Linked DNA regions of Oryzias latipes. The protein of the gene in region 2 purifies or fractionates together with the protein of the main gene of each other region. This does not show direct contact. Links are inferred from orthologs where the notes say so. Each region holds a gene or a part of one and is shown on either strand. Other genes may lie near its edges. The genes, in order: rpp30, ribonuclease P protein subunit p21 and rpp40.

Region 1 (9,748 bases), on a different chromosome or scaffold from region 2:
ATTGAACGGTAGAACGAGAGGTCAATATATGGATAGATACATTTGTGGGATCTTATGAAATTTATTTCATTGTTTTTTGAACAATAATTTCAAAGACTAAACCGACTTTGACAATGTGACCGTTTCATCTGTGCTTTTATTGTGAAGGGCCAGAACGTGTTTGGACCGGATGTGTCCCGCTGTAAACTAAAGTCTGCAGGTCGACGGAAGGACGGAGGGTTCCGTGACCCAGAGCTGCAGGGAGCCCACAGTCGCCTGGCGAGTGGCTAACCGGTGACCCGCCCGGTTTCACGGGGATTTGTTTGTATACCGGCAGTAAACACAGCCAGCTTCCGGTCACTGCGCGAACGCGAAAGTTTTCCTGCCAGTAAGCTACATGTTAGCATGGAAGGCGCTAACCTGCTGAAGAGGCGGTTCCTGGAGGAGGGGGCGGAGCTTTGGAGTTGTAAACCAGTGCAGGTGAGAGAAAAATACGTTTGTGGACTTCAGTCCTGATTGATCAGGTAATAATAATCAGTCAGTTGTCCTTCCGCTGATTAAACCTTAGTTAGCTAGCTGATTTGTTTAACATCCACTTCCTGGTTCCATAGTGGGACTGAAGACCCTGACTGGGCTGCCCGCTGAAGTGCCCAACCGTTTATTTACCTTTATCTCCTGCTTCTGTTGTCAGAACGATGTTTGGACCAGATTTATACGGTTCTAAGAACCCATCCAAGTCCACTCTGGGCCCGGATGTTCTGATGCTTCTGAGGTTCCAGATAAAGGAAAAGTAAATCTTCAGTTTGAAGATCTCACGGCTCCAGAAGTTCACGTTGGTGGTTGTCATTTGGAAAGTAGAGGGGGTGGGGTCGTTATTATGATCAGGTGATCAATCAGCTGGCTGTCACGGAGTTTGTCTGTGATTCTAACTTAGCTTCAAAACCGCTTCACTCGGGTCTGGGTCAGTTCCTGCAGATGTTTCTATAAATGAAGCAGAAGTTTGAACACACTGATGATGTTTGCATCCAGAAGCGACTGTGCATGGAGGCGGCTCTGCAGCTGGCGGAGTGTCCCATGGAGACGTCCTGCGTTGCCACGGTGACCAGTCAGCAGGAGCAGGTCAGTGCTTGAAGCTGCAGATGTTGTTCATTAAAGTCAACATTCTGGCCAGATGGACGTAAACAAAACAAAAAAAGCCCGTTGACTCCCATCAGAACCTCCCTGAGGTTCCACGTTCAGATCAGAAGCCTCAGCTTCATGTGATGCTGCTGTTGCCATAGAAACGAGGTCCCTTGACGTGTGCGCAGGTTCGTGCCGTTCATCTCAGACCTCCTACCATCTGCTGCGCCCGATGTCTCGGAGGAGAGCCGGTAATTTCTTCATCAGCTTTAGCACCTCTAAGTTTGGCTTTTTTATTAGTGAAATGAATTCTGGGAGATGGAGTCAACTGCTTGGTTCTTGTGCTTTTAGGGTCATATCAACCACATCATGGGTCTCTGAAGTGAGGAGGAGAACTTCCTGCAGTCTCTGGAGGACTCGTCTGAACCTTCAACCATCAAACTACTCTTAAACTCCACCTGAGGGTTTTTCTTCAGCAGCTGCTGCCAGAGCTTCAGGCCATCATCGTCTTCCTCCATCGACTCGCAGTAACTCCAGCGGGTCGGGACGTCCACCCCACTTGTGTTTACTTTTGATTTTGTTCTGCAACACTCTGATGTTTGAGGCTATTAGAGGTTTTTTGCTTCAGTAAGTTTAAGCCACGCCCTCCTCGTCTGATTGGTTTAATCCATCCAGTCCAAAGAAACTGCTATGACCTTTGACCTCTAACAGTAAAGGGCTATTTCACCAGGGAGGGTGTTTCTCCCCTCAGTCTGGTCTCAGGATAACTCCTCCCTCTGTGGTGTTTAAGGGAAAAATTCTGTTTAGTGACTTGAATTAACTTTAAAAAATGTTTAATTTAATTACATCTTTGTACGATTAATGAAATATGAATCCAGAAATGTTCACTAGTCTTCCTGTTCGTACATTTCTATTTTTATAAAGATATCTATATTTGTATGTCCAATCTGAATGTGAAGGAACGACCTCCTAAACTTTATTTCATTATCGTCAAGCTCCAAGACTAACAGCGTTTGTAATGTAGATTTCAGAATAAAAGCTTTGATACGCTTTGATTTTGAAATAAGACTCCTTTTTTTAAGGGGGGGGGGGGAGGTTCTTAAATCAATTTTATTTTTCCAAAAAAATACAAAAGTTGTCCAAAAAAATTTTTTTTAAATACTTGATTTAAAAAAGAAAAACTCATGATAATGAAGTCACAGAAATCGGAGCTGGCCCCGCCTCCCTAGCTGTCAATCAGGTGGTCTTGACCCTCTTGGCGGCAGGAGTGTCACCTGCACAGGTAGACGTTACATTCTTATCAGATACTCGGATGCTGAGCTCACTTCTGCACCAGAACTGACCCTCCGGAGGATCCGACGGCGCCTCCTGCTGGCTCCTCGCCGTGTACACGATCCCGCTGGCCGTCTTCCGAGTTTCTGACCACAAACACACACGGGTTGGAATTAACATCCAGGATCCGTCCACAAGTCGTGGACTGAAAGTCTCTGCTTCCTCTGTCCCTAAACAGGAGGAAGAGGAAGAGCCTGGGATGGCGTCCGTCCTCACCTGCGTGCAGCAGCGCCGCCCTGCAGGTGGAGGAGACGGCCTCTTTTGCGTCTCCATCTGACAAACCGAACAGCAAACCTCTGAAGACGCACATCAGGAACACAACAAACAGACACTGCTGTTGTGGGGGGGCGGCTGCTGTGACGGGGCCCCACCCACTCGTGATGATCAAAGGATACAGGTTGGTGATGTCATACGGTCCTCGCAGCTCCAAAGCCTGAAAACACAAAGGATTTTTAAAAACTACGGGAGCCTGAGAGGACCAAAACTCAGGTCTGCCATTGAGGTTCAACAGGTGGAGTAAAAACAGCTTTCACTGTGAAACACGGGGGTGGCAGTGTGATGGTGTGGGCAAGTTCAGAACACTGACCTTCTCTGCCGCGCTGGACAGGATCACGTTCTGAAAGACCAACAGATGTGTCAGGTGAGTGATGATGTCACCTCAGAGTGGGCGGGGCAAAGAACCCACCTTCCCTTTACAGCTGTCCGTCAGACTGGCGGCGTTGGCGATGGTGTAGCGCCTCATGGTGGAGTCTCTGATGGCCGCAGAGTACGACACCTCGAACATGACTCCGCGGTCGATGGCCTGGACACAGCAACGCGCACACATGCAGAAAAACGCACACATGCAGAAAAACGCACACATGCAGTCGCACAACGGCGACAACGAGAAGGCCTGGCGGCGGAGAGGTCACCCCATTGATCGGCGCTCTCTTGAAGAAAAAAGGAAGCTTCTCGGTGACGGAGATGCAGATGATGTCGATGTCGTACAGCATGCAGGCCGCCTGCACGCACACACACACACACACACACACACACACACAAACAAATGACTGATGTCTAACACAAACCACAACTAGAATCTCCTGAAGACACTGAACACATCAGTGAAGCTCACATGGAACAGCTTCTCCGAGGTGGGCTGCACCGCCAGGAGGTCAAAGCGGCGATACTCTGGAGCGTTGGGCCTCTGAACACGTTCACACACACACACACACAGAAGGTTTGGATCGATCAGCTGATTGATTCCGATCAATACTTCAGCACAGACTCTTACATAGTGACTGGGGTCGGACACCACCACGGTCAGCCTGTTCAATACTCTGATGGGGCGGGAGCGCCCCTGCACGACGGGCAGCTGATCAATCAGCTCATTGATTGGTTTAGGGACAGGAATTTCCTGCAGAGGAAGCTGAGACTTTCAAAGTAAAAGCCATGACGTCAAGGTGGGAGTTTGTGGTTCCGGGTGGACTGACCTGCTTCTGCTTGGCTGTCGGTTCGAACATGTAGTTGATGGCGACGGTGGAGAAACCCACTGCAAAGACAAGAAGAAGGCTTTAGAGCGCATGCGCACAGGTGAGCCACACGAGCGTCCTAGCAGAACCCCGAGGAACGTCAGCAGCAGAGGTTGTCGAACAGGAGGAAGTTCTGGTCACGTCCGAACCGGGTTCTTCTCCATAAGGACTTTTCACGCGGAGGTTTAATGGGAAGCAGCGCGCGGGGGAATAAACGATTCGAATCGCCAGCTATCTTTAAAACATCCGGGTATTTCTGCTAAAACAGGCGAAGCTGCCGAACCACAGAACCGGGAAGTTCGGGGGGTAACTTACGGTGAGCCGCCGTCTCCAGCAGTTTGCTGATTCGAGTCCGGTCCGCCGAAAACATCAGATTTAGGTCCATGAAAACCGCCATGACGCTGCACGTGCGGAAACCCCAAAGGCCGATGGGAGTTGAAGTCTCGTTTGCGCAGGGGCGTCACTGGGTTCTCGCGATGGTGGGAGACCAGCCCAGTTTTTTATTCTTCATCTGGATTTCTGAATTACTTAACCTAAAATTATCTTTGAAAAAATTAATTATTGACAATATGTCAGTTTTTGAAATCCCCATTCATTTTTATTTTATCCACTTATTTATAGTTGGTTAATTTGTTTCTTTGTTGATCTCATCTTTATTTACACATCTATTGGCATGTCAGTCTTATGCATGCTCCTTTTTTTATTTATTTATTTGTTTATTTATTTGGGGGGGGGGGGGGGGTTACACAGCAATTGGTTGACGTGAAACCATTTATTTTACTGAGAGATAAATCCAGGACTAGTGTCCAGTCTTTTTCTGTTTGATAAGCAGTGATGAAAGTCTTCCGGGAATTCCCGGAAATCCGGGTTTTTGAGCAAACCGAACGTACTTTCCGGGAAATAAAGACCTGATCTCTACGGACAAATCGCTTTCCGGATTAAAAAATGGTCTGAAATCAGCTAATTTTAGCTTTATTTTCTATATTTCTCCGCAGATCGTTTCCTCTATGGTCGTGGCCATCTCTCGTCTTCCCGGCCTAATTGACCAATGACGGGACGTTTTAGTTGCTTTCGGATGCGTCGACGGGTCTGATTGGCTCTGTCTGCACCACGTGGTCAGCGTGACTTGCTTCCCTAGAGACCAAAACTGGCGGACCCACGCTAAACTTTCACAAACACATCTGTAGAGTTTGCGATCAAATTTGTGTTAAAATAATGGCAGGCATCGTCATTATTGAGCGTGGTCACGACCTCAGTTGTGAGAAGACGATAAAAAACAAATTGAAGTGGTCTTGGATGGAAAAAAAAAAAAGATTTTTAAGGTAGTGTAGGTCAAATACTTTTTTGTGTAAAATAATCTCAAAACCACATTTTGAAATAATTTCAATTTTAGTTTTGAGTTTCAGTTTTTATTTTGAATACATTTCTTTATCTAATTTATTTGTATTTCCTAATTACCATGATTTAGTTCAGTATAGTTGACATTAATTATAAGTATTTGATGGTTTGGACCCGCACTCCCTTAAAAAATAATGTTTACAATGTTTTGTTTAGTTTGTATGTTTGTTTTGATATTTCCCAGATTACTTAGTATTGGTGTTAAAGAATTGATGTATTATGTTATAGAATTATAGTTTAAAGCAGATCCCATATTTTGATGTAATTATAGTTTGAGAAAACAGTGCAAGTGGATGTTGTACATCAGTCATTTCTAAAGCAGAAATAATGTATAAATAACTGAGGTATTTTCATAGAATATCATAGTTACTGGTGTTCTTTTTGCCATTTGGGGCTTTGATGTTACTATATTTTAGCAATTGTATGTTTTGCAGCTTTAAGGAAAAGCGTAGATTGTAGGATTGTGTTACTTTGAGCAATTTTCCAAATTCTTTTTTAGGACCAGCAAGTCCTTAATGGAGAGTCAAACTAGGGGTTTGAATGACAAATCATGATGCTCCAATTAGTCTTAGTTTTTTGATAAAGAAGTGAATAACTAGCTGCCAGAATGCACCAGAATGCATCTAAGACCACGTATTTTTCCAAAATTTCGCTCTGTGCCCGCCATATCGCTCAAAGAAAAGTTCAGGGATTTTTTCCTTGCCTGACTTTCATCACTGGATAAGTTCAAGTTATGTTTTTTTTTTTTTATTCCTTTAAGGAGTCCTAGTTGTGCCTCAGAAACCTTTGCTTTGTAATCAATATATTTGTCTTAGTGTCAAATCAACAGATGAATCATTTATCATCAGGATGGTCCCCCATCAATCAAACAGAAGGTTTGCTGCACTGTGAATGTTGGTGTAAATATGCTACAGAAATCCACGATGATGTCTGGACTCTTTCAGGGTCATACATGATGTCAGCGTTGAATTTCAGATGGATGTTAAGTTAAGGAGGTTTGAAGTTTTGACTGGAATGAACAATTTTCACCATCTGCATGAATGAAGCTGTCAGTCAAAACTGTTGTTTTATTTTAATTACCAAGAATCTATTAAAATTGTAAAACTTTAAGGATTTGATGTCATTGGGAGTTTAATTCTTAAACTGTTGCAATAAAATGGAAATGATGTTTTTTGGTAGTTTTGCTATTTGTTTATATACCGTAAATTCAATCGTTATCGCAATATTAATCACCAATATCGCAAGTTTTGCTTATGCCGTGCAGCCCTACTGTTAATTCAGTTAATGCTCAGGTATTATCTGGTTTGTTTCTCACTGATTATTGTCATTGTTCTCCTTTATCATCTTTTTTCCGCAAATGATGAGTTTTAAATATCGTACACTATCTTTTTGTTTAACCTTTTAACCTTGTGGTATTCAGAGCGAAAAGCAAAGTGAGCATCTCAGGAAAACCTGTTTCCTAACTGTACAATGACAATAACCCCTTTAATCCTTGAAACTTATAAATAAACACATGAAATAACCTTTTTTGTGTGTTTTTGCTGGTCTACTTTGTGCATTCACACCCAGTTTTACATGTTTTTATTTATCTTCTTTTCACGTGTCGCTCTGATCTCAACCTAAAGTCCACTTTTCAAACCCTTTTCAGGTCTAAACCCTTACAAAGAATTGCTCAGAAAACGGAATTCCTGAAAATTGTTCTTTTTGTAATGAGGATATTAAAACAACTGAGCATCTTTTCTTTTAATGTTTTTACTCTAAAGCCTTTTAGGATATACGTTGATACGATGATATACGTTATTGGCTTTTCCCCAAGATTCCATGTCTATCAGACTTTTCCATAAATCATTTTTGGGTTTATTTTAGAAAACAAAAACACAGAAATCGTTTTAAATGTTATAACTATCCTGGGTACATTTTATATACACAAATGTCGATTCCTTTAAACCAAACCATATTCTTTTACCTAATTTTGTAATTGTTTACATTTTTCTATGCTATATCTAATTATAATTTGACAAACACCTTGGACAACTGCCACAAAGATTGTAAACCTCAAGTTTGTGTCTTCAATAAAAAATAAAATATATAATAAAAACTCTGATCTCAGATCAGTTTCCGGTCCGGAGCGGAACGTTCCCCTTTCCCGCCAGCAGGGGGCGGTGCGCGCGTCAATCTCGCTCTGTGAGGCACCGCCGAGGAAGACGTTCAGCAACCTGCAGGTACGAAAAGACACGAACCGAGCCGAACCACGGTTCTATTCTGATACTGAATCCCAAGGTTCGGTTTTACCGGTCCGTTGAAATCTTCCCGCTGACTTAAAAGAACATCGCGTGAAACACGTGACTCGGTGTTGTCAAACTTTAGAACTTTGCCCCAAAGCACAGAACGGGTCAGGTCTGTTCCGGTTCGGCTATATGTTTGGAATATCATATCATACATCTGTTTCCCGAGTCTACCGGGAGTCCATGTGGATAGGAACCGGTCTGTTAGAATAGGTTCGGACCCCAGCAGAACCTTTGACCTGTTTCCTGTCTGCAGGCAACAGAACCAGGCCAGTTCTGACTAGTGGACCCAGAACGATGCTCCTCCTAAACCCTCTGAGGGGGATCCTCAGTGCCAGACCTCAGGTTCTGGGTCTGACCCGCTTCAGCTCCAGCTTTGTGTCCAGGATGAGGTCAGGAACCCAAACTGATTGATCGAGTGACCCGATTGATGTGATTGATGTACAAACTGGGTCCAGATTCCTGAACCGGCTGAAGCAGGAGGACGAGGCGTGTGCGGCGGCGCTGCAGGACGGTCAGCTGGTTCTGTTCCACCGCCTTCAGCCTCTGCTGCAGCGCGGACCCACCGGAACCTTCAGACCCGTCACCCTCACCTGCTCAGGTACCAGAACCTCAGGAGGAACGAGAACCTAATACTGAAAGCTAAGACTGCTGTGTCCCTGTTTCAGGAGTTCAATCACTCCTCCAGAACTTTGGTTCTGATGGACCTCTGCTAGAAGACTCTATTCTGATTGGCTGCAGTGAACAGAACCAGGCTCAGTTCTGCCTGGATGTTGGTAAGATCGCCTGACAGAATCACCAGTGTTTCCTTCCCTCAACCATGACATACAGGTTCTGTGGTTCTGGTCTTCATTTAGGACATCTGGACCAGGCGGCAGTAGCAGAATTCTGTGCGGGGACCTTCATAGACCTGAGGAAATCCTTCTTTCTTCTACCGGGACCTGCGGCCCAGCTGGTGGCCAAGGTCAGCAGCTGGAACCCAACATGCGGTTCTGGTTCCTCTCCCAGTCCAGGATGCTAAAAAAACACGAACTCTGTTGTTTCTGGTCCATTTCCTGGTTCTGATGTCGGTCTCTCTTGCAGGCTCAAGCTCTGCTGCGCTGGCATCAGACCAACGGGTTCTGCAGCGCCACGGGCCAGCCCACTCACCGGAACCGGGCCGGCAGCCAGAGGGTCTGCAGCAGCAGCTCCATAATCTACTATCCAAAGGTGATTTTTCTTTCCTCCCTGCGCTGGTTCTGATCCACCAGAACTGAGCACATCCTTTGCAGTTCCTGGTGACCAGCAGGGGGCGGAGTTTCACCGCCTGCTCCTCAGAAAGCTGCGGTCTGCTGGGCTGCTGGGCGTGTTCTCCTGCAGGAGGAGGTTCTGTCCCAAACAGAACCTGAAGATGGAGAACCTCCAGTCTGGTTTGAAACTGGATCATGTGCAGACCACATTGTGCACGTATGTGCGTGCACGTGCCGCAGTCACTCCTGCAACAGGTGTGTGAACAGACACGCCTCAGTGAAGTCACCTGAGTTCATCATTCGTACAGAATGACATCATCATCAGTTTTGTAACCTAAAGGGGCGGAGCTTTGGAAGATCAGGTTGTTAAATTTAAAAGAATCATTTGTCCCAAACGCCCCATGTTCTGGTGGGAGGGGCCAGCGTGACCCGCCTGCCTGTGGTTCACAGATGTCCCCCGTGGTCATCGTGCTGCTGTCGGACGGGAGCCGCTGCCTGCTGGGCCGCCAGGCGTCCTTCCCTCGTGGGATGTACAGCGCCCTCGCCGGCTTCTGCGACATGGGTCGGTGCCGCCCGTTCACACCTGGTTCTTGTGTTCTGCTGGGCTCCGGTCTGACTGCGCTCTGCTTCCAGGTGAGACTCTGGAGGAGACGCTGCACAGGGAGGTGGCAGAGGAGGTGGGTCTGGAGGTTCAGGACGTGTCCTACAGCTCCTCGCAGCACTGGCCTTTCCCCCACAGCTCCTTCATGCTGGGCTGCCACGCCACCGTCAGCCCCGCCCACACCCAGGTGAGCCGTCCTCGGTTTCAGACGTAGTGAGCCAGAACCAGAACCCGGCGTGTGATCTCCCTCCCTCAGCTGGACGTGGACCGCTCGGAGCTGGAGGACGCGCGCTG
Region 2 (9,686 bases):
ACCATGACAAAGGTGGATAAAGGTGGAAAGATTTCATGTAATCCATGGACACCAGTGAAGATCACAAATCATTGAAGAAAAAAGGTTCAGAGCACTGTCTAGTGGGTCTAGATGACCCAACTCCCAATGGTAAAGTGCCTAGGATAGCACAAGGGTTACGAGCAAAGTTAAGTGAGAATAAAATTTTAAGGTTGCATTAGGAAACTGAGTCTTAATATTGTCTAAATAAATGACCTTCTGTCACTTTCATGCTGATACTGTACCAATAGACAGTGATAAAAAAGTTGCGTCTTCGGTAAAAGTGGCTTACAGGTCTCTATGCTGATGCAGTTTTCAGTCAAGACTGATGAAAATCTTGCTGCTCTCTTTGCTGAAGCTTTGACAGTATTCCACTTACATTGTTTAAAGGCTTTAGGATGTATTTAGTCCTTGATTGTTTCAGCTATTCTGCTGTGGATTTACTGGTGTTCTGCAGGTCATTTATCTGGTGACTTATCTCACTTTGAGGTGGTAGAAAATCTCTTCCATTTGACTCCAGAATTCTTGAAGGTGACCATTACTCTAAAACAAATCCCAACAACCCTGTCTTCACCATTACGTCCCTATTGTGTGTTCCGGTGGTTTGCCTTTAGATCCAGTGCAACAGCAACCATAGATATACGCTCACCAGCCACTTTAGCACCAAGTTGGACCCCCTTTTTCCTTCAGAACTGCCTTAATCCTTGGTGGCATAGATTCAACAAGAAACATTCCTCAGAGAGTTTGGTCCATATTGACATGACAGCATCACACGGTTGCTGCAGATTTGTCGGCTGAACATCCATGATGCCGATCTCCCGTTCCACCACATCCCAAAGGTTCTCCATTGGGTTGAGATCTGGTGATCTGGTGAGGCCATTTGAGTCCAGTGATCTCATTGTCATGTTCAGGAAAACTGGCTGAGATGATTCCAGCTTTATGACATGGCGCCTTATGCTGCTGGAAGTAGCATCAGAAGATGGTCCACTGTGGTCAGAAAGGGATGGAGATGGTCAGCAACAATACTCAGGTAGGCTGTAATGTTATAACCATGCTCAGTTGGTTCTAAGGGGCCAAAAGTCTGCCAAAAAATATCCCCCACACCATGACACCACCACCACCAGCCTGAACCGTTGATACAAGGCAGGATGGATCCATGTTTTCATGTTGTTCTGACCCTACCATCCATATGTGGCAGCAGAAATAGAGATTCATCAGACCAGACAATGTTTTTCCATCTTCTATTGTCCAGTTTTGGTGAGTCTGCAGACCTCAGTTGGAACCAGTGGTTCTTTGAGTTCCTGTTGTCCTTTTATCAGCTGGAACCAGTCTGTACATTCTCCTCTGACCTCAACAAGGCATTTCCACCCACAGATCTGCTGCTCACTGGATATTTTCTATTTTTCGGGCCATTCTCTGTAAACCCTAGAGATAGTTGTGGGTGAAAATCCCTGTAGATCAGTTAATTAAATCCTCAGACCAGCCTGTCTGGCACCAACAACCATGCCGCATTCAAAGACACTTCAATCACCTTTCTTTCTCATTCTGATGCTCGATTTGAACTGCAGCAGATCGTCTTGACAACAGATGTCTACATGACTAAATGCATTAAGTTGCTGCCATGTGATTGGCTGATTAGAAATAATGAGTAATTTGGACAGGTGGGACTAATAAAGTGGCCAATAAAGATTTTTTTTTTTTTTTACATCTTTTTGATTCAGTCTCCTTCTGTTGATAGATGTCAGTCCCGCTAATGTCAGCCTGCAGTTAGCTTTGCGTCTAACTGAAATTTGCCTTCAAACAAACATTTGATGTTGGAGTAACTTTCCGCTCCAGGAGCTTTTTGGGAACTGCTTCACTGCTTCAGGCACAGCAGCCTCGAGTGCATTTCCATTTCTGTGCACCGAATACTTTAATCTGGAACACTGAGAAACAATCAGATCAAGTCAGAATTCACTGTCTTGTTAAAAACAGCTTCAAAATGGGCTCATAACAGGTAACAGGTGATAACAGATGAGTGGGTTGTTTTTGTAATGACATTTAGAACGTGGGACTGACGGTAAGGTTTTTATTTAGTCCACTTCTTACTAAGACAACCCAGAACGCTGCATGTTCACGGCTGTTGTCGTTTGTCTAAAGGGTCACGTTTCTTTCGCAGGCATGACTCTGGCTCTTCTCTTCTACATGGGCCACATTCCCAGGATCTTTGCCAAAAACCTCCTGTATTCCCAGAAGACACGCTTCAGAGTGCCCAAAGGAGACAAAGCGGGGAAGAAAAAAATGTGAATGATGGACACAGTCAATGGTTCCAATGCATTTATTTTAGACGCGTTTAAAAAAAAAAAAAAAAAAGAGAGAAATAAATGAGAAAACTGGTCAAAGGATCCATTCTTGTCTCTGATTTTAAATAACACCATATTTAAGAAACATCTCCAGCGTGTTTATCAAATAATGAGTGAAACTTAATGTGGAGTCAAAGACGAAACAGACACCTAGAATGAAGGAGCACTGGAGAAAGGTGGCGTCCGGCTGTTACGTGCTGCCTGAACACTGACCAGAAGCGGGCTTGGACGACTGCGGCGTGCGGGGTTTTGGGATGTTGGGCTGGTTTTTCGCAGACGTGCCTGGATCTGTGGGAGAGACCGAGAACTGCTTCAGCCACCGGAAAACAAATGTTCACGCGGTGAAGGAGGCGAATGTTCGTCCCCGTTTCCCTGTGCAGCAGCTGAGCAAACAGAAGCTGAGAGCCTGACGTCTTAGACAGTATTTTTATGATTGGACTTCTGTTGAGTACTCCATCAGCAAACAGGGGTGTGCTTGTACAAACCCTAGTGTAATTAAAGCGAACTTTATGTTTAGGAAATGATTAATTCTTAGTCCTGTTTTAAGTTCTGGAGCAGCCTGCGAAGGGAGAGTGAGACGGATGTGGAGGCAGGCGTTAGGAAAAGGAAAGGAAGCAGCAGAGGCTGCAGAAAAACACGACGCTTCAGTTTCATGACAACTCCCGTTTACGCAAGCAAGAAAACCCAAACTGAAGTCTCCGCGCTTTAAGGCAAAGACAGAGACGGCAATCCCTGGGGGGTATTCCAGAAAGCAGGTTATGCTATCCCAGGTTATGCTATCCCACGATAAGTTTGAGGCTAAGAAAGTTGATAACCTCAGCTTTCGGTTCCAGAAATGGAGGTATGTTTCAGGGTAGGTCAAGTTACCATGGCAACTCATGCTCTGAACATAACCTGGTCTGGAGCAGGTTTAGTTGAAGGTTAGTTTGTTTACAGAGAGGTGAAGCAGCATGGCGTGTCCATTTGAAGATGATTTAGTGGATGAAAAAGCTCAGATAATACTTTTTCCACCAAGAGAGGATGATGAGACCACATATGGATGTTGGAAAGATAAACTTTTTTACTTTGATCTAACGTAATTATTTGCTTCAGTTAAGATAAATCATTTTTTTGTTAGAATTTTTTTTGTTAAAAATTACACGTAGTTTTCAGACAGTTATTTTCCTTTCGTTCAAATTAATTCAATTAAGTAGGTGTAACTTTGATGCTGCTGTTAGATCGGCACCGCAAGGGATTCTGGGATATCATTCCCTTTGCCTGTCTGGACGGATTTGGGTCTAAGTGTGGGTTTTTTACTAAATGTATTTAGTTGTATAGCTGTTTTACTGTGTTTCACCGTGTTTGGCCGAGCTATTTTGTCCTACTATGCTTACGTCTCTGCACCATGAGTGAGAGTAAAGGATAGGATGATGACTTTATATAGCACCCCTACCGCTTAGTGCTGTTATGACAGTGACGGAAAATTCTTTAGTGAGTTTTTGCACTCGGTGCATTTTTTTCCGTTCTTTTTATTGTTGTAAAAATGAGCATATCTGCCGGCTCAAACTTAGACATATGAAAGTTCAAGAAATATAAGTAATTAAGATGGAAAAAAGATTAATGAAGTAATGTGACATTTAGTTAGATAAATACGTACATTTGAGTTGTGTAAACAATTATTGAGTTTGAAAAAATTAAACTAAATTATTTAAATTATTTTTCAGCCGTGTTACTTTTTTGATGGACTTATAATTTTTAACCGCCGTCATTTAAATCTCAGACTCCGTCTCACTTCCGTCTCAAGTGTCGCGCTCTTTTTTTTTCTCCACGCGTTTCCATGGTGACTCCAGAAATCGGCGATCTATTGAGAATGTCTTTATGTACCGTGCATTAACCCAGGGTTACCAAGTCGAGCGTAATTACGCCAACTCATATCCGGTCTTTTGGAACCGACATACCCAGAGTAAGCAAGTTCAGGCGGATTTCAGCCAGAGTTCAGGATTAAAGTCAGGGTAGTTTAAACATGCTTCCTGGAATACCCCCCTGGTCAGTGGTCGTCACCAACGATGACTGCTCCAGGTTTACAGACAGGTCAGTGCCGTTCACACCCACCCAGCTGCTCCTGCAGCTCCAACTGCGCCTCTGGACGCTCCACCCATAGACGGTAATCCGGGTTATTCTGAAAAGTCTTGGTCTGACCACAGCTGAGACACCTGACCACAGTGAAGCTGGTCTTTCTCTTCTTTCCTTTAGAAACAACAACAAATGATTAAAAAAAGGGAAAACCACCCCCATCGCTGAGGATCTCTGTGAGATACTGACTGCGTTGTCTTGTTGTAGCAGTGACTCCTGGGATGAGCAGCGTGCAGCAGCCTTTGCATAACGTCCTCTTCACAGACGGGTCTCTGCAATCAAACACAGCGCTGGTCCATTCAGTCCATTCTGACCCAGCAGGACTGAGCTCAGCCTCACAGTGTTAGACGAACGTCTGTGTTGAATCCACCCAACTTTATATATGCATTTAGAAAAAGAACGAAATGGTGACAATAGGTCATGTGATCACCACACCTTTAAGCAGGCGGGTCCATGAGGCTGCAGCAGACACACAAAACCATCTTTAAATGTCTCCTGGAAGCACTTTTCTGATTCTAGGACTTGTTCTTATCTGCTTGACTGACGGGTCGGGTCTGGGTTTCACTTCAGGAGTTGTCATAGGTGGTGATAATGTTTCATTTAACTTTAACCAGCCTCAGACATTTTTGATTTCTAGTTTTACAAGAAGTATTTGTTTAGAATCTCTAATTAAAAAAAATATATTTCGCTTACAAAAAAATACAAACTGAATACAACAAACCAAATATGCAAAAAGTTTGTTAAAGCTCACGTGATCACAAAGCAGAGATAATGAATCAATGGGGAAAATGACGTTTGAACTCTACAGGAAGTGACGCAAACTAGTCTCCACAATAAAACCCTGAACCGTTCAAAATGCAGAGATTCAAACTACTCACTGCCTGAGAACCAAACGTCGAGCAATCGTCTTCTGTGTGAAGCAGTAGAAGCGAGCCAGCTCCACATTCTTTGGGTTTTGCGCTAAAACACAATGAGCAGCCTGTGAAGACAGAGTCACACCGTTCAGGTCTAATATTAGCAACGTGGCTGATGGCTCCGGTCAGCTCCGTACCTGGTAAAGGTAGTTAAGTCGCTGGTGCGCTTCTTTGTCTTTTAACTGAAGAGCCATCACTTACAGACTCAAAACAAAACCCCGGACAGTCTGTACAGGGGGAGACTTACGACTAAGTTAGCATGTGAGCTAATATGACGCACATCCGGGGAGATCCTTCAAAATAAAAGCCCCCTGTCTATAGAATATTAATGAAAACTATATTTGTCGCCCAGATCTTAAAGGCAACAAGTTATATTTATTAAAGCGCAAAAACAGTAAAAAGCTGTAAGGAATAAAAGAAAAAAATGTCCTTTACAGCTTACTCATTATAGTCACTAACAAACTAATTGCTTTGGCATTTTGCGTTTGGACAAGAAAAGTGTGGGAGCCCAGCCCCAGGGACTGGCAACTTCCAGATATCCAAGTCCTGATTCATGACTGCTTACCAGGTTCAGGTGTGCAGCCAATTAGAACATGCCAGAGCCGGGTATGTTGGAGAACACGCAGGAATGCGGCCCCCTGGAGTTGACCATCCCTGCTTTAGGGACACATCCTTCTTTGGGATTTTTGTGTGTGATGTTTCTGTCCTCTCTACTGCCAATTACCTATGATTACCTAGACCAGGTATGTTCCATTGAAGACAGCAAGAGCAGGAACAGGGGAAAAAAGCAGGACGCTGGGCCTTTAAAGACTGGTTTAACAGCCCTAAACGTGGATGGAAAAAATGACAGACATAAAATACTCCTTTTTTAATAAGAATAGCAAAAAGAGTACAAACCCTGTCAATCTAAAGTTTTAACGGCCAGTAAGGTGCGCCCTTGGGATGAGGAGTCAAACTATTCGGGGCTTGAACTGGTACAGTGGACCGGTCAGAGAACACCATCAGCACGCACGATGCATTGAAAGACAAACGCCCACAAAACATGGAGCAGTCAAGAAATGACAAGTGCTCTGTAAATGAAACACTTCACAGACCAAATGGGGAAACTAAAATGAAATTCAAGTATCAAAAGAACTAAGACACTGACAAGCTGAGAAGGTAAATTACAAATGTAGTAAAAATCACAGGAAGGGAGACGTGACACAATCAACAATACATTAGGAAACGTTTTGCATTTGTTTAAGGCAGCTGATTAAAAAACTAAACAGAACTAGGCATCTTCTTCCTTCCACGTTAAATACAAACCTAGCCCGACCTTGATGCACAAAGTCCACTACGCCCGACTGAGAAGGTGCACTTCAGTCTGAATCAGAGTTCGAGTGAACAGTCGTGCTCTTGATTTTTGGTCTTCTTCACAGTGAGGTTTGTCGGGGCTTATAAGGCTGATGCGTCACAGAGAGGCGAGCCACTCAGTCTATTGTCTGGCACAAAAACTGAAACGGTTGGCACGCGTCTGCGCAGCCGGAGGCCGGCGCAGCGGGCCTTCCCAGCTAACGGCTGCCTTTCATGGCCTCCTTGGCTGCCAGGATGAGAGGAGTCAGACTGGAGAGGGGCTTCGCCAGCTTCAGGAACGGATGCTGAAGAACAAAATTCAACAAGCGGATTAGACCAAACCCAAAACCGTAAGTTGAAAAGAAAAACAGGCGATGGGTGGAAGCTGAACCTGCAGAAGCTCTTTGCCGCCTCCTCTTTTCTCTACATCCATTTCCAGGCAGCGGTTCAAGAAATCTCGAAAAACTGGAGAGAGCTTCTCTGGATTCTGAAGCTCAGGGGTTCCATTTGTAGCAATCAGGTATAAAGCCTGCCAAACACAAGGACATCAGAGAAGCGTGACACACAGCTTTGCATAGAGTCACACTAAGCTTAGCGGTTATTTTTTTAAGATCCTTTTATTGACTTTAGGCAACATGCAAAGCAACACTGAACTCACTCGCAGTGGGTTTTCATTCAGGTATGGAGGCTCGCCTTCAACCATCTCGATCGCCATAATACCAAGTGACCAAATATCTACTTTAGGCCCATAAGCCTTTCTGGTCACTACTTCAGGAGCCATCCAGTAAGGTGTGCCAACCATGGTGCTGCGTTTGCTCTGTTCTGGAGTGATCTGGGCACAGAAGCCAAAATCAGCTGTTGGAGAAACACAGACAGAAAAATGTGGAGTTACGGTGGTTGGATGTAGTCATTGTTGCAGTTGGTTGCTTCTAATTTGGGGCAAACGTCTTACTAAGCTTCACGGATCCATCCATTCCCAGCAAGACGTTGTCACTTTTGATGTCTCTGTGAATCACTTGATTTGCGTGCAGGAATTCCAAAGCTTGTAAACACTAAAAGAGAGAAGGCAGAGGGCATGTAGGAGTGATTCTGTTCCATTCTCCACTTAAAGTGGAAGCACAATGAGCTCCATACTATGATATGAAAGAAGGAAACGCACCTCTCGACAAACAGCAGCTATCTGGGCTTCATCCATGCAAGTCTCGGTGACGACGTCTGTCAGGGAGCCACCAGCAAGATATTCCATGACGACAAACAGCTCATCCCCCATCAGGAAACTGATCCAAATGACAAATGAATACCGTTCACCTCAACGCATGAAAATTCTCCCAAAGAAAGCCGTTGCCCTGCAGACTGAAGGTCCCTCACCTGTCTAAGAAGTTGACGATGTTGGGGTTCTTCAACTCCTTCATCACTAGGATCTCATTGATAATGAGCTCCTTCTTCGGCTGCTTTTGTAGATTGATTTGTTTAATCGCGACCTGAAAATGGAAAATGCCAGTTCTTAAATATTCAGAAATAGTACATTTGATCGTTTTCTGTCAAAAGTGCAAAATGTCTTGAATTCTGCAATCCCATCAAGTAACACAAACTGGATCATTTCAAACAGAATTACATTTTACGTTCCCTCCTCCATGGACCATGGCGGAGGGGTTTGAGAGCTCGAGTAATCCCAGGGGGGAAGAAGCTTATGGATAAAGGCCCTGATAGGATCTCCTAAGGCAGACAAGTCCTAGGTGACCAGCCGGACAAAGAGCAGTTTAAAGCCCCTTTATTGGCGTCACAACAGTCCCACCACAGAGCCAGGCCTGGGTTTGGGAATAGCAGCCTAGCCAGGGGGCCCCGGTTAGGCCTGGCCTGAAGTGATTATGCGGGATCCCTCCTGGCGGCCCTGCCATCTCCCATCTCCTGCAGCAGAGCCGGTGCAATGTGGTTTGGCCAGGCTTGACGGCGGGTGCCTCAGTGGGACAACCATTAAGTCTGGCCTTTGGGACATGAAACGTCCCCACTCTGGAAGTGAAGAAGCTTCAAATGTTTCAAGAGGTACTGTGTAAACATAGGAAGAAGTTTTCTCATGAGCCCTCAGCTCAGCCACCAAAGTTATTGTCTCACACCTAGGTGCTGTATTTGTTCTCTGCATTTGATTCCCCCCCTGGGGGAGGTGAAACTTGGGACTCGGGACTGTGTACCGATCAGGACCCATTTGGTGGTTTAACCCCCCAATCTTTATGGTAAGTGTCAAGCAGGACACTGGGTCCCACTTTTAAAGTCTTTGGTGTCATTCGGATTTGAACTAACGACCTTCCAGTATCAGGGCGGACACTCTACCACAAAGCCACTGTACGAGAGAGTCGAATCTTTTCGCCTTCTAGAAGGGGATAACTCTCTGTGGGTTTTGGCCTGAGGGCCAAAGAACAGTTTGGAGTACCCGGCGTTCTTCTGAAGTCACTGAGGTAGTTGAGAAGCTCCTCAGCAGCAAGGCGCCATGGCTGGATGAAGTCCACCCTGGAGGGCTCAAGTCTCTGGATGCTGGTGGACTGTTTTGGTGGACACGTCTCTGCAGCATTGTGTGGCAGTTGGAAACTGTACCACTGGACTGGCAGACTGGGGTGGTGGTTCCTCATTTCAAAAAGGGAGACGGGAGAGTGTATTCCAACTATCGAAGAATCCATTTCAGAGTCCTGGAGAGATGAGTTCAGCCAAACTTCCGATCCAGGAACAACAGTCCGGTTTTCGTCTTGGAACTATGAATCAGCTCAACATTCTACATAAAATGGTCATCCAGTTTTTTGAGTTATCGCTCATCCAGTTTGGTGGAATTGGAGAAGATGTTGGACCCTTGTAGCGTCCTGTGGAGGTTGCTCTGTGTACGAGAATGTGGTCCCAAAGACAAGCCGGCTGAAAAGAGTTTCCTCCGTGGACTGGCTGGGCGCTCCCTTACAGGTAAGGGGAGGAGCTTGATCACCTG
Region 3 (9,768 bases), on a different chromosome or scaffold from region 2:
TAAAAGCAAGATGAATAAATTCTACTCATGTTTTGCCTGTTAATTTTTAAGTTTACATCTGAAGAAGTATGGGGAAACTAAACTAAACTGTAATATTATGAATGCATTTTTTTTATATGTTCTATGTTACCAATATGTGAACGACAAAATCTTAACAGACCTAAAAAACAAAAATAATTAAAGCCGCAAGCGGCGTTGTATGGCCCGCAGACGCAACCCGCCTTCCATGCCCAACTCTACGCACCACCACCACCCTCACCATCCACCTTTGATCAAGGCTAGTCAAAGCTGCATATGCTAATCATGCTAACTATGCTAATTTGGCTAAAAGTGCTAGCATATGGATCAGCATCATCAACTGACTCAGAAAAACACATTGCTCCATTGGTGAGAGCTATATGTCATAAGTTGATAAAAAAAAATCCCACTTTTTTCAAAATGGCAGCTTTTCTGTTGATTTTATCTCCATAGAAACCATTTTATATTTTAGTCGTCTCGGGAGGACGAACGGATTGACGTCAGTTTCAGACGAATCGGTAAAAGTAAACTTCTTGTTGTCCTTAGCAACAGTGGTTTTATGCTAACCACGCCCACATTCCTTATATCTCCATGTCCAGTGTTTTTTATTGTGTTCAGTTCCTGACATTGATGCATGCATTCAAATTTCACTATTGCATTGAAAGTCATGGCAGTTATAACAGTGCGCCACTTTGCTAGCTTGCCACGCGCACGCCGTTCAAAATCTACAACTTCTAATTCCAACATTTTGTCCAGAGTAGCTGGCCGTTGATGTCCGAAAAGTTACGAGAAGATTGAAGAAAATTCCAACAACGAGTTTTCGTTTGTATCTGGTGCTAAAGGTGCTTTTTTGAGAAAATTACAGATGGCGGCCTTTTCCCAAGGTCAAAGGTCAACGACACTTCTGTGGTGTTTGTAGACTGGAGCTGGCAGCAAGTGTGTGCAATTGCTTGAAAATCGCTCAAACAAAAGTGTCGTCTTCCCATATCGTGGGAAAACAGAAAAATCGGCAATTCTCAGAGTTCGCCACAAAATGGCCGCCAAGCCGTAGGTGGTGTGGCCATCCCATAATGGTCTCAAAACTTCTTTGGGATATCCCCGACACGTGTGTTTTGGTTTCGCGACTGTATTTGGAAGTACATTTTGTACGCGATTTTCGGCCGATTCATTTTTTTGACGGGATGGCTGGCCGTGATGTCATCGTCTTCCGGGGGGTGACATTGACTTTGTGGAAAATTCATTTGCAATTTATCCCAGGTGTATGCACGTTTTGGTGACTTTTCGAGCATGCGGCGGGGGTCACATTCTCGCTGAAAGGCGGCGAAGTCGTCGTTCCAACTGCGAAAACAATATGGTCCTTGCAGTCTGACTGCTGCTGCGGGCCATAATTAAAGTTTCTAACAAAGCAATTAACCCTTGTGCTATCCTAGGCACTTTAACATTGGGAGTTGGGTCATCTAGACCCACTAGACAGTGAGCTGAACCTTTTTTCTTCAATGATTTGTGAACCTCACTGGTGTCCATGGATTACATGAAATCCTCTTCACCTTTATCCACCTTTGTCATGGTAGGGAGAACACGTCAATGTAAGGGTGGGGTCATCTAAGATAGCACAAGGGTTAAAGGGGGTTTTTGTGTTCGTGCTTTACTAACTGCAGTTCCAGCAGTTTTCGCAGGTCCCAGTTGAAGTAAGTAAGAATTAGACGTTAGACTGCTGGTGTGTTGATTGACCCCAGCGGTGCAATCCCTCATATCCTATACCATTTTCCTCCAAAAAAAAATCCTATAAACACACCCCTCAACCTTGTGAACAGCCTTCCCAGAAGAGTTGAAGCTGTAAAAGCTGCAAAAGGTGGGCCAACATCATATTGAACTCTATGGGTTAGGGATGGGATGGTACTTTAGTTCATATGTGAGGCAAGGCAGGTGAGTGAATGCTTTTGGTATTATAGTGTAATTAGTTCTATTACCCCGTTACTTAAATTTTAACGCCATTAGTAACACAGTTATACCTAAACGCCGTTACTCCCAACACCGGGAGTGAATAGAAACAAAAAGCAACAAGTTGCTGGAGGTTTATCAACAGTTCTGTGAGGTGCAGATGATAAGTCACAAAGTCAGCATGTTAACACGTGAACACATACACAATACAACTGCAGCTCACACATGTACATTCTTAAGCATGCAAACAAAGTATTTGTGCAAAGGTGAGCTAGCACCTGTGCTCAGGTGAGTGTTGGTGTTCTACTGTGGTGCATGATGGGATATAAAAGATGAGGAGTGCCTGGTCACCCACACACCAAGACCCCTGCCAAAAACACCATCTTCATTGGTTTGGGTCTTTAAACATGTCAGTAAAAAGAGATTGACTCGCATTTGCATCCAACTCCTTGTGGTCATTAAGGAAAAAACAAAACGTTGCAATTCTTATTATGCTTTAAAAAGGAAAAATGCCTTAGATTAAAAGTTGCTAACCAAGTTTTTTTTTTTTTATAAATACAATTTATGGTCTGAATAGATTACCTCTCTGATGGCATCACAGAGTATGACGTCATAAAATAAATACATTACTCCTCTTTGTGATGTAATCAAATGAATGATGTCATCAAGCCAAAATCCAAGAAAAAAAAGAGGTTCAACAACACAGAAAACATTTCAACACGTCTGAGAAGAAGAGACGTGAAAGACTAAGCAAACCAACTCAAAAGGTCCATCGATCTCAGTGTTTGAACCACTTTAAAGAAATTAAGCATTAAGTCAAAACCTGTTTCAAATGCAGCGGCCCGCTCTTTCAAACCCAAATCATCAGCAAAGCCAGCTTCTGTCTGCAGCCAACCTGAACGGCACCTGAACCTGAGTCCACAAAGAACTCACCTGACGCTCCCAAACCCTTCGCACATCCCTGTCGGAGAAACAAAATTCAACATGGTAACTGGGAAATGGAATTCAGTGAAGACGATGATGACATTTATTCAAAGAAAATGGCGTCTCGGCGGCACCACCCCATGGCAGGAAATGGCACTGCATCCAAAAGTGCAGTCAGAAAATGACTCAGTTCCAGGGTTCAAAATAAATGAAACTAGTTACCATTGCTGAAAAAAAATTATATACCATTTGCCCACCCATTTTACATGTATAAAACGAAAAAGCTACCTGGAGAGCAGAGTGGATTTGACCCTACACGCCCTCAGACAAATAAGGCAGACACATAACGTTTTAAAGTCGAGAAAACCACCTGATTGCTTACCAAGGCATGCCAGGCGCAGATCTTCCACACATCATTCTCTCAGCCTCTGTGGTTCTGCTGCAGCTCAACTATCCACAAAAGGTGTGTTGACCCGGGTTAGATCCCCTTGCTCTCACTGAAAAGCACTAGTTCTAACAGGGGTTCTGCTTCTGTTCCCAATGTATTGCTGATAAGTAAGTCATGGGTTGAACCAGAACTGCTAGTCCGGAACAAACTAAAGAATTTCAAGACTAAATTAATTGCACACTGGTTCTGATCTGGTGAAGTTCTAACAGGTTGAATAAGCCACAGGTCAGGCCTCCAGCACTGTCTGAGCTCAGTCAATTCTCTTGGTTCTGATGGGTTAGTGGCATCACGGTGGGCAGGCATCGTGTGCGCCGGCAGCCAAGTGAAGGTGGTAGGTGTGGTCGTGGGACATCAGCAGGCTGTAAAAGTTCTCTCCTCCTCGAAGAAATCCATGCTCTCTCCCTCCCCAGGACACGGGGCTGTCCGCGAAACCGTGAACTGTCAGCACCGCCCAGGACTGGACCTGCTCCAGGTGACTCCTGCGAGACAGGCGAGTCACACACCAAGCCCACTCCCACATGCTTTGAATGTGTACCATCAGCTGACCTGAGCTGACCAATGAGGCGCTGGATGTCTTGCGGTAGCAGCATGCCGCTCACACACGCGCTCAGAGCGCAGTTGGTCTGAGTTTTCGGTTCCGGACAGATCAGTGAGGACAGGAAGCTGTTGGACGAGTTCTCACTGAAACCCAGAAATGCACGCATCATGCAACCACGTTGTGTGATGAGCTAACGACGAAAGAACGCCATACCCGCTGACGCCGGACTCCACCGCACCCAACCACTGCAGGAAGCTGTGAGGGTCACATGACTCGGGGACAGGAAAGGACACGTTGGTCAGGCTGCGGAATTTGACCTCAGGTTGGTGCTCTGACCAATCACAGCAAGACAAAAGGGGATGCAAAGAAGCCCCACCCCCTGCAAGACAGAGAAAGACACAGCTTGGTCTCATATGTCTATATGAAGCCCATTGAGACGACTGTTGTTGTGAATTTGGGCTATACAAATTAAATTGAACTGAACTGGAATATGGAGTCACTCACCTGGATGATGTGACAACAGGAAGTCCGTTTGTAGCGGAAGGCGTGACTTCAGACCCTCAAGAAGTCTGAGGTAATTCCGCCTTCCAGGAGCCATGCAGCTGTCCGTTAGGTTCACAGTTACCACTGAAGTTCATACAGGTGCACAGAAAAAGGATCTGCTCACTCATTTCTGTCAGATCCTCATTTTGTTGCTGGTTTCTTCTGTTCTTACATAACATGCGTCTCTATGTACCATAATTTCCAGATTATAAACCGCTACCTTTATCACACGCTTTCAACCCTGCGGCTTATTCAATGATGCGGCTAATTTATGCATTTTTTTCCTTCTTTTTTTAAGGCATTTTTTTCGAACAGCCACTAGGGGGCGCTCGAGCAGAGAGGGTTAGAGTGAGACAGGGGGAATACGGTAAATGTGTCGAGGAAGACACAAGTTTTATGTAAATTCCTGCTTTGTGAATGAATAGCACGAACAGACCCTCATCATTGAAAATGCAAGAATAAATGCATATGACGCAGCTTTCAAGTTAAAAGCAGTGTGAAAAAAATCTACCATCACCAACGGGTTTGGAAAAGCCGGTCTGCTGCGTGACGGAGAGGACAGGGCAAGCTTTTTTAACTTGTCCTGTCTAACAGCTATAAATTAATCATGGAGGCGAAATTAATAATTGTGGTTTGTGCCCGATCGGAATTATATGACACCAAGTCTTTCATATGTCGGAATAGAGCTGGGAAAGAAAAAGCCTGGATAGCTACGTGAGATTTGCACCGCTTAGGGATTTCACACCAAGCCTCTTCCAACTGTAGGTGGCGAAGTAAATAGAACAAGAAAAATAAGAAGAGGCCCCTCCCAGCTTCTCTCGTGTGAATGCCATGCGCTAAACGTGCATTCAAGAATGTGCATCATAAGACCAGTGTGCCAGTAGTTTCAGACTCCAATCAGTCACAGCAGATGATTGGTTTTATGGAATCTAGTTCTGCAACGGGTTTCTTCCTCGTTTTCCACCAATTTCTCCTTCTCCACTGTCCGCTTTTGTTTGCTCAGTACAGGGATTACACAGCAAACCCCTCAGTGCTTTGACACCACCTTCGTTGTGAACTAACGCTTTAGAAATTGTTAAGTTGTGCATAACAAACCAAATCTGCTGCAACGCCTGTGGTTAAACCTTGATGGTTTCCCCTCGAAGCCCAGCAGCTCAAAAGAGTCTTTGTCCAGGGACAGGGTCAAGATACCTGAGGACAGACAGACAAGATCATGTGATCCAAGAACAGATGAAAAGGGTCATTTGACCATGGAGATCCACACAACAAACAGGAAGTGATGCTTTTTACCGTTGGGCATTAGGGAGACACAGTTATCCTCGTCGATGCGAGTCTGGTGGGATAAACCATACACGCTGCCTGCAGCACATAGGAACAGGTGAGTCATGTGACCAGATGAGAGCAGGTCTCAGCTAGGTTTAGTGAAGACGGGCGTTTTGTTACCGTTGTAGATGGCACTCCGCAGGAAGTTCTCATTCAGCAGCTTGTAGATGGGCAGCTTCTTAATCAGGTAAAAACTGTTGAATGACTTCAATGTTTCATCCAGATGGGAGGGGGCGGAGCTACAATCAGGCAGTAGCAGAGACACCTGCACAGGCATAGGAAGCAGTAGATCGTGGCTGTTTCAGTGACAGGTCACAATTTTTAACTAAATTTTCCTGAATTTCGCAAAGACCTGCCAAAATAAAAGACGGAACGGCCAATCAGCAGTCTCTATGATTCAATATTAAACATAGAAGAATATACTTTGATGCTGCCTTCAAGAACTTAACATCACTCCATGCTGCTTTTAAAAGCACTACTTAAGATCATCAGTCTTTGCTGCCTTCAGGGACAGGAGTAGTATCATGTCCCTCGGTGCTGCCTTCAGAAACACGGGAATATATCTCTCAATGTTGCCTTCAAAAACAGTTTGTCAAGAGGATGCATCATTCTGCTTCCTTAAACTAATTCACATGCGGACTTGAATATTTTAATTTTCACCTTGTAGTTAAAATGCATTTGCTCCACCTGTGCGCTGACCCTGTTTTTCTCGTTCTGGAAGCTGGACCGCTCACAGACCAGCAGGTTCCGAGGACATCGGCTCAGGTCCTGCATCCTGATGCAGTTCCTGCACGATCTCAGACACGGGGCCTCGGGAAATGTTCTCACTTTAAAGCATGCAGGAGGCAAGGCAAGAAACCCGGAAGCGAACTGAAACACATGGAGGTTTGGTCAGAACGCAGCACTGCGCAGCCGCAATGGGTTGGCCCCTCTTGTTCGCCGTAGTCACGTGATCAGAGCCGGAAGTTGAAGGAGCAGCACGCTGTTGACTTCTATACCACCCGAACAAGGCGGCCCGGTGAAGGTGGGCTTCTTATCAACCAAATACAGCGGGATTACTTTGCGTGGGCTGTGGGTTCATGGAGGAGGTCACGTGCGTTCCTGGACAGTTTGATGACGCTGAGGTAGACAGGTAAAGGTTTGGTTTGGTTTGGTTTGGTTTGGTTTGGTTTGGTTTGGTTCTCTTTGTCGCTCTGTCTGTGTCGTCAGGAAAAAATCTAGTCCCCATGTCAGAAAAAAGGTCGTATGGGTCCAAGCCCAAACGCTAGTTCTGAGTGGTCCAGTAGTCGATTATCCATGTACTAACATTTCTGATGAATCATTTTGACTGGCTTGTTTAGTTTAGTCAGCACCTGGAAAGGCCAAAACCAGCTCCTCAGTGAGTGTCTAATCCGGGTCAGAACCTAAATCATCCTGCCAAAAAGAAAGAACCGACCCCATGAGCAGAACAGTGTCTTCTGTCAGGTTCACCTGTTACGGCCTGGTTCTGTGATCCCATAAGAAATGACTGCCAAAGCTTTCAGAAGATCCAAAATCCTCAGTGTTTCATGAACAATTGTCTCCTCCTGTGGTTTGGGTCTTGCAAAGACTTTGATTTTTATGGTGCAGGAGGACAGATGATGCCTTCTCTGTTACCATGGTAACCAAATGGGGCAAGTACCTTCTCTCCAGAGGGTCTTCTCCAGGTTTCTGGGCTGTATCTCCTCACAGTTATGCCTATTTGAGTTCAGATGTTATTTTTTGGACTTTTCTAACCATCAAAGCCTCATACCCACTGACAAAACAACATCCATTTGTGGCAGTTTAAGATTTTTAATGCCGTGTAAGCATTAGAAAATGTTGTCACAAGTAGGGAGCCATGTTTGGGACCAACGATAGAGGAACTGAAGAGATTTTAATGTGTTTTTTGACCATAATTGGTATTATTTTGCCTTCAATCCTAATCACAAGATTAGAGCGACGTGCACAAATTTTACCTACACAAATACATGTTTTTGTCCACAAAAGTGATCTGCTCGAGTGTTACTCATGTAGCCTTGTGGCTACATATTTTCAGGTGCAAACACCACCTGAACATATCTTCCCTGTAATTGGCTGAGGGTCTGGACTCTTCCTCCCTGTTGGTTCTTTCTCAGTCTGTCTTTTTCTGTTTCCTGCAGAGACCAATCAGAGCCTTCGTTGCTACCAAGCCTCATCAATGATGTCGCTGCGCAGAGGGTCGACAGTGATGAGGAGGAGGACGAAGTGGATGATGATTATGATGATGAGGATGATGAAGAGGATTGGGCGTACCATTCTGCTGCCAATCTGACCAGCAGATTAAACCGGAGCGGCCTCAACTGCCAGGTTCTGATCCAGATACATTAAAATTTAGTTGCCATGTTAAATGTCAGTTAGGGTATATTGGTTCCTTTTCAGTTAAAGAAGTCACATCACGGTCACGGTTCAGAATTATTTATCAGTGATAATGAGTCTGATCCCACTGCCCTTTTGTTTCTCTGTCACTGTTCTCAGGCAAACAGACAGAACCCGTCGAATAAGATGATCTCGTCCTCGACCCCGTCTGACAAAGCTTTGAGGAAATACGAACACAAAATCAACCTGGGTACACACACGTGCACACTCACATGCATAGACCACAGCTGTGGAGGGTTCTGGTTAGGCCTGCACAATATACCGCAAATTTATCGTTATCGCAATATCCAGCTCTGCAATAGGCATATCGCAAAAGACTGCGAATATCGCAATAAATCGTAAACCCAAAATGTGTTAAAACAATCTTCTAGCAGCTTGAAGCATTTAACGAATCAAATAAATCCCTTTATGCTTTGACCAATCAGATGGACGCCTTCCCATTGTTTACCAATCAGATGGAGGCCTATTATGTTAGATGTTTGTCACCTATGTCAATGAGGGTCATTTGGAGTGTAATTTTAAACTGTTTCTAATCAAATGGGAATGGTGTTTTTGGCATTTTTCTATTTTTTTATATACCGCAAATTATATCGTTATCGCAATATTAATCTCTAATATCGCATATCGCAAGTTTTCCTCATATCGTGCAGCCCTAGTTCTGGTTTTCCTGTCCGACATGGTGTGACCTTAAAAAGTGTCTGCCCCTCTGTGAGGTCAAACAATCTCCAGTAAGAAGATGGCTGATAGTTCTGAATAATCTCCTATGGATGTGTGAAAAAGTATTAGCCCCGCCCTGATTTCCTCTACATGAGAGAAGATGGAGTTTATTTTTAGAGGCAAACACAATTTCATACAAGAAAGTTAACCTACCACTGTTTTTGTTGATGTTTTTGTTTACATTAGCATTTTTATTGAAACACATAAATAGGTTAAAAAACAAGGCAATGATAGATATTATTCTACTATCTTCTTTTCCAGAAAGTCTTAATTCCAGAAAACATTTTGTTCTGCAAAGATTTTTGTTTTGGTCGCATAGTCTGAAGGTCTTTGTTCTAAAAGACCTATGTTCTAAGATTGTCTTCTGGACTAATGGGTTTTCTGTTCTAGAGCTTTTTTGGTTCTTCTGTTCTTTGAGGTCTTCCATTCTTGATGGTCTACTGTTCTAGTCGTTTTGCTGTTTCAGGAGATCCTCGATTTTACTTTGTCTTCCGTTCCTAGAAGGTCTTTTGTTTTGGGAGACATTCTGTTCTTGGAAATTCTTTTTTTTTTATCTTCCATTTTATGAAGTCTGCTGTTCTATTATGGATTTTGTTTTCGAGTGGATTCTAGTTTGATTTTCTGCTCTTGATAATAACTGTTTTAGTCAGTCTTCTGCTCTGGAAGGTTTTGGTTCTAAGATATCTTTTGTTCTAGAATGTCTAGTGTTTTAGAGGGTGTTCTGCTCTACGACGTCTGTTGTTGTTCTGGAATGTCTTCTGTTCTTGAAGATCTAATATTCCAATTCTTTCCAGTTTTTGGTCTGTTCATATTTTTTCCGTATTCAAGGTCTACTTTGTAACCACTCAGAGGCTGCTCTTTTAAAAAGGTCTAATGCTCATGTCTGCAGACTAACAGCTGC

What was found.
Region 1: the proteins of ribonuclease P protein subunit p21 (region 2) and rpp30 purify together in Homo sapiens (co-immunoprecipitation; 3 studies listed by BioGRID and IntAct, counting the BioPlex papers as one, with this or other methods). This does not show direct contact. The link is inferred for Oryzias latipes from reciprocal best matches to the Homo sapiens genes RPP21 and RPP30.
Region 3: the proteins of ribonuclease P protein subunit p21 (region 2) and rpp40 purify together in Homo sapiens (co-immunoprecipitation; 3 studies listed by BioGRID and IntAct, counting the BioPlex papers as one, with this or other methods). This does not show direct contact. The link is inferred for Oryzias latipes from reciprocal best matches to the Homo sapiens genes RPP21 and RPP40.

Annotation. Positions count from the first base shown.
Region 1 is NC_019877.2:1,033,254-1,043,001, reverse strand, and holds rpp30 (ribonuclease P protein subunit p30), read right to left. Parts: upstream 4,604-9,748; 5' UTR 4,339-4,603; coding exon 4,257-4,338; intron 4,003-4,256; coding exon of another isoform or gene 3,993-4,002; exon of another isoform or gene 3,962-3,992; coding exon 3,903-3,961; exon of another isoform or gene 3,893-3,902; intron 3,839-3,892; coding exon 3,704-3,838; intron 3,617-3,703; coding exon 3,545-3,616; intron 3,432-3,544; coding exon 3,342-3,431; intron 3,233-3,341; coding exon 3,116-3,232; intron 3,047-3,115; coding exon 3,017-3,046; intron 2,864-3,016; coding exon 2,647-2,863; intron 2,517-2,646; coding exon 2,442-2,516; intron 2,373-2,441; coding exon 2,335-2,372; 3' UTR 2,190-2,334; downstream 1-2,189. Other genes in the region: nudt13 (nucleoside diphosphate-linked moiety X motif 13), read left to right, coding at 3,993-4,002, 7,881-8,016, 8,083-8,225, 8,293-8,400, 8,482-8,588, 8,708-8,833, 9,304-9,415, 9,487-9,641 and 1 more. UniProt on the Homo sapiens protein: Component of ribonuclease P, a ribonucleoprotein complex that generates mature tRNA molecules by cleaving their 5'-ends. Also a component of the MRP ribonuclease complex, which cleaves pre-rRNA sequences.
Region 2 is NC_019862.2:3,261,075-3,270,760, reverse strand, and holds ribonuclease P protein subunit p21, read right to left. Parts: upstream 5,889-9,686; 5' UTR 5,581-5,888; coding exon 5,524-5,580; intron 5,452-5,523; coding exon 5,351-5,451; intron 4,745-5,350; coding exon 4,662-4,744; intron 4,587-4,661; coding exon 4,452-4,586; intron 2,649-4,451; coding exon 2,551-2,648; 3' UTR 2,326-2,550; downstream 1-2,325. Other genes in the region: aquaporin-12, read left to right, coding at 2,177-2,304; pak2 (serine/threonine-protein kinase PAK 2), read right to left, coding at 6,937-7,023, 7,110-7,247, 7,377-7,573, 7,671-7,770, 7,878-7,995, 8,087-8,199. UniProt on the Homo sapiens protein: Component of ribonuclease P, a ribonucleoprotein complex that generates mature tRNA molecules by cleaving their 5'-ends.
Region 3 is NC_019875.2:13,399,375-13,409,142, reverse strand, and holds rpp40 (ribonuclease P protein subunit p40), read right to left. Parts: upstream 6,628-9,768; 5' UTR 6,510-6,627; coding exon 6,396-6,509; intron 6,001-6,395; coding exon 5,856-6,000; intron 5,772-5,855; coding exon 5,703-5,771; intron 5,604-5,702; coding exon 5,508-5,603; intron 4,497-5,507; coding exon 4,374-4,496; intron 4,249-4,373; coding exon 4,083-4,248; intron 4,013-4,082; coding exon 3,878-4,012; intron 3,811-3,877; coding exon 3,618-3,810; 3' UTR 2,079-3,617; downstream 1-2,078. Other genes in the region: riok1 (serine/threonine-protein kinase RIO1), read left to right, coding at 6,815-6,867, 7,895-8,081, 8,250-8,340. UniProt on the Homo sapiens protein: Component of ribonuclease P, a ribonucleoprotein complex that generates mature tRNA molecules by cleaving their 5'-ends. Also a component of the MRP ribonuclease complex, which cleaves pre-rRNA sequences.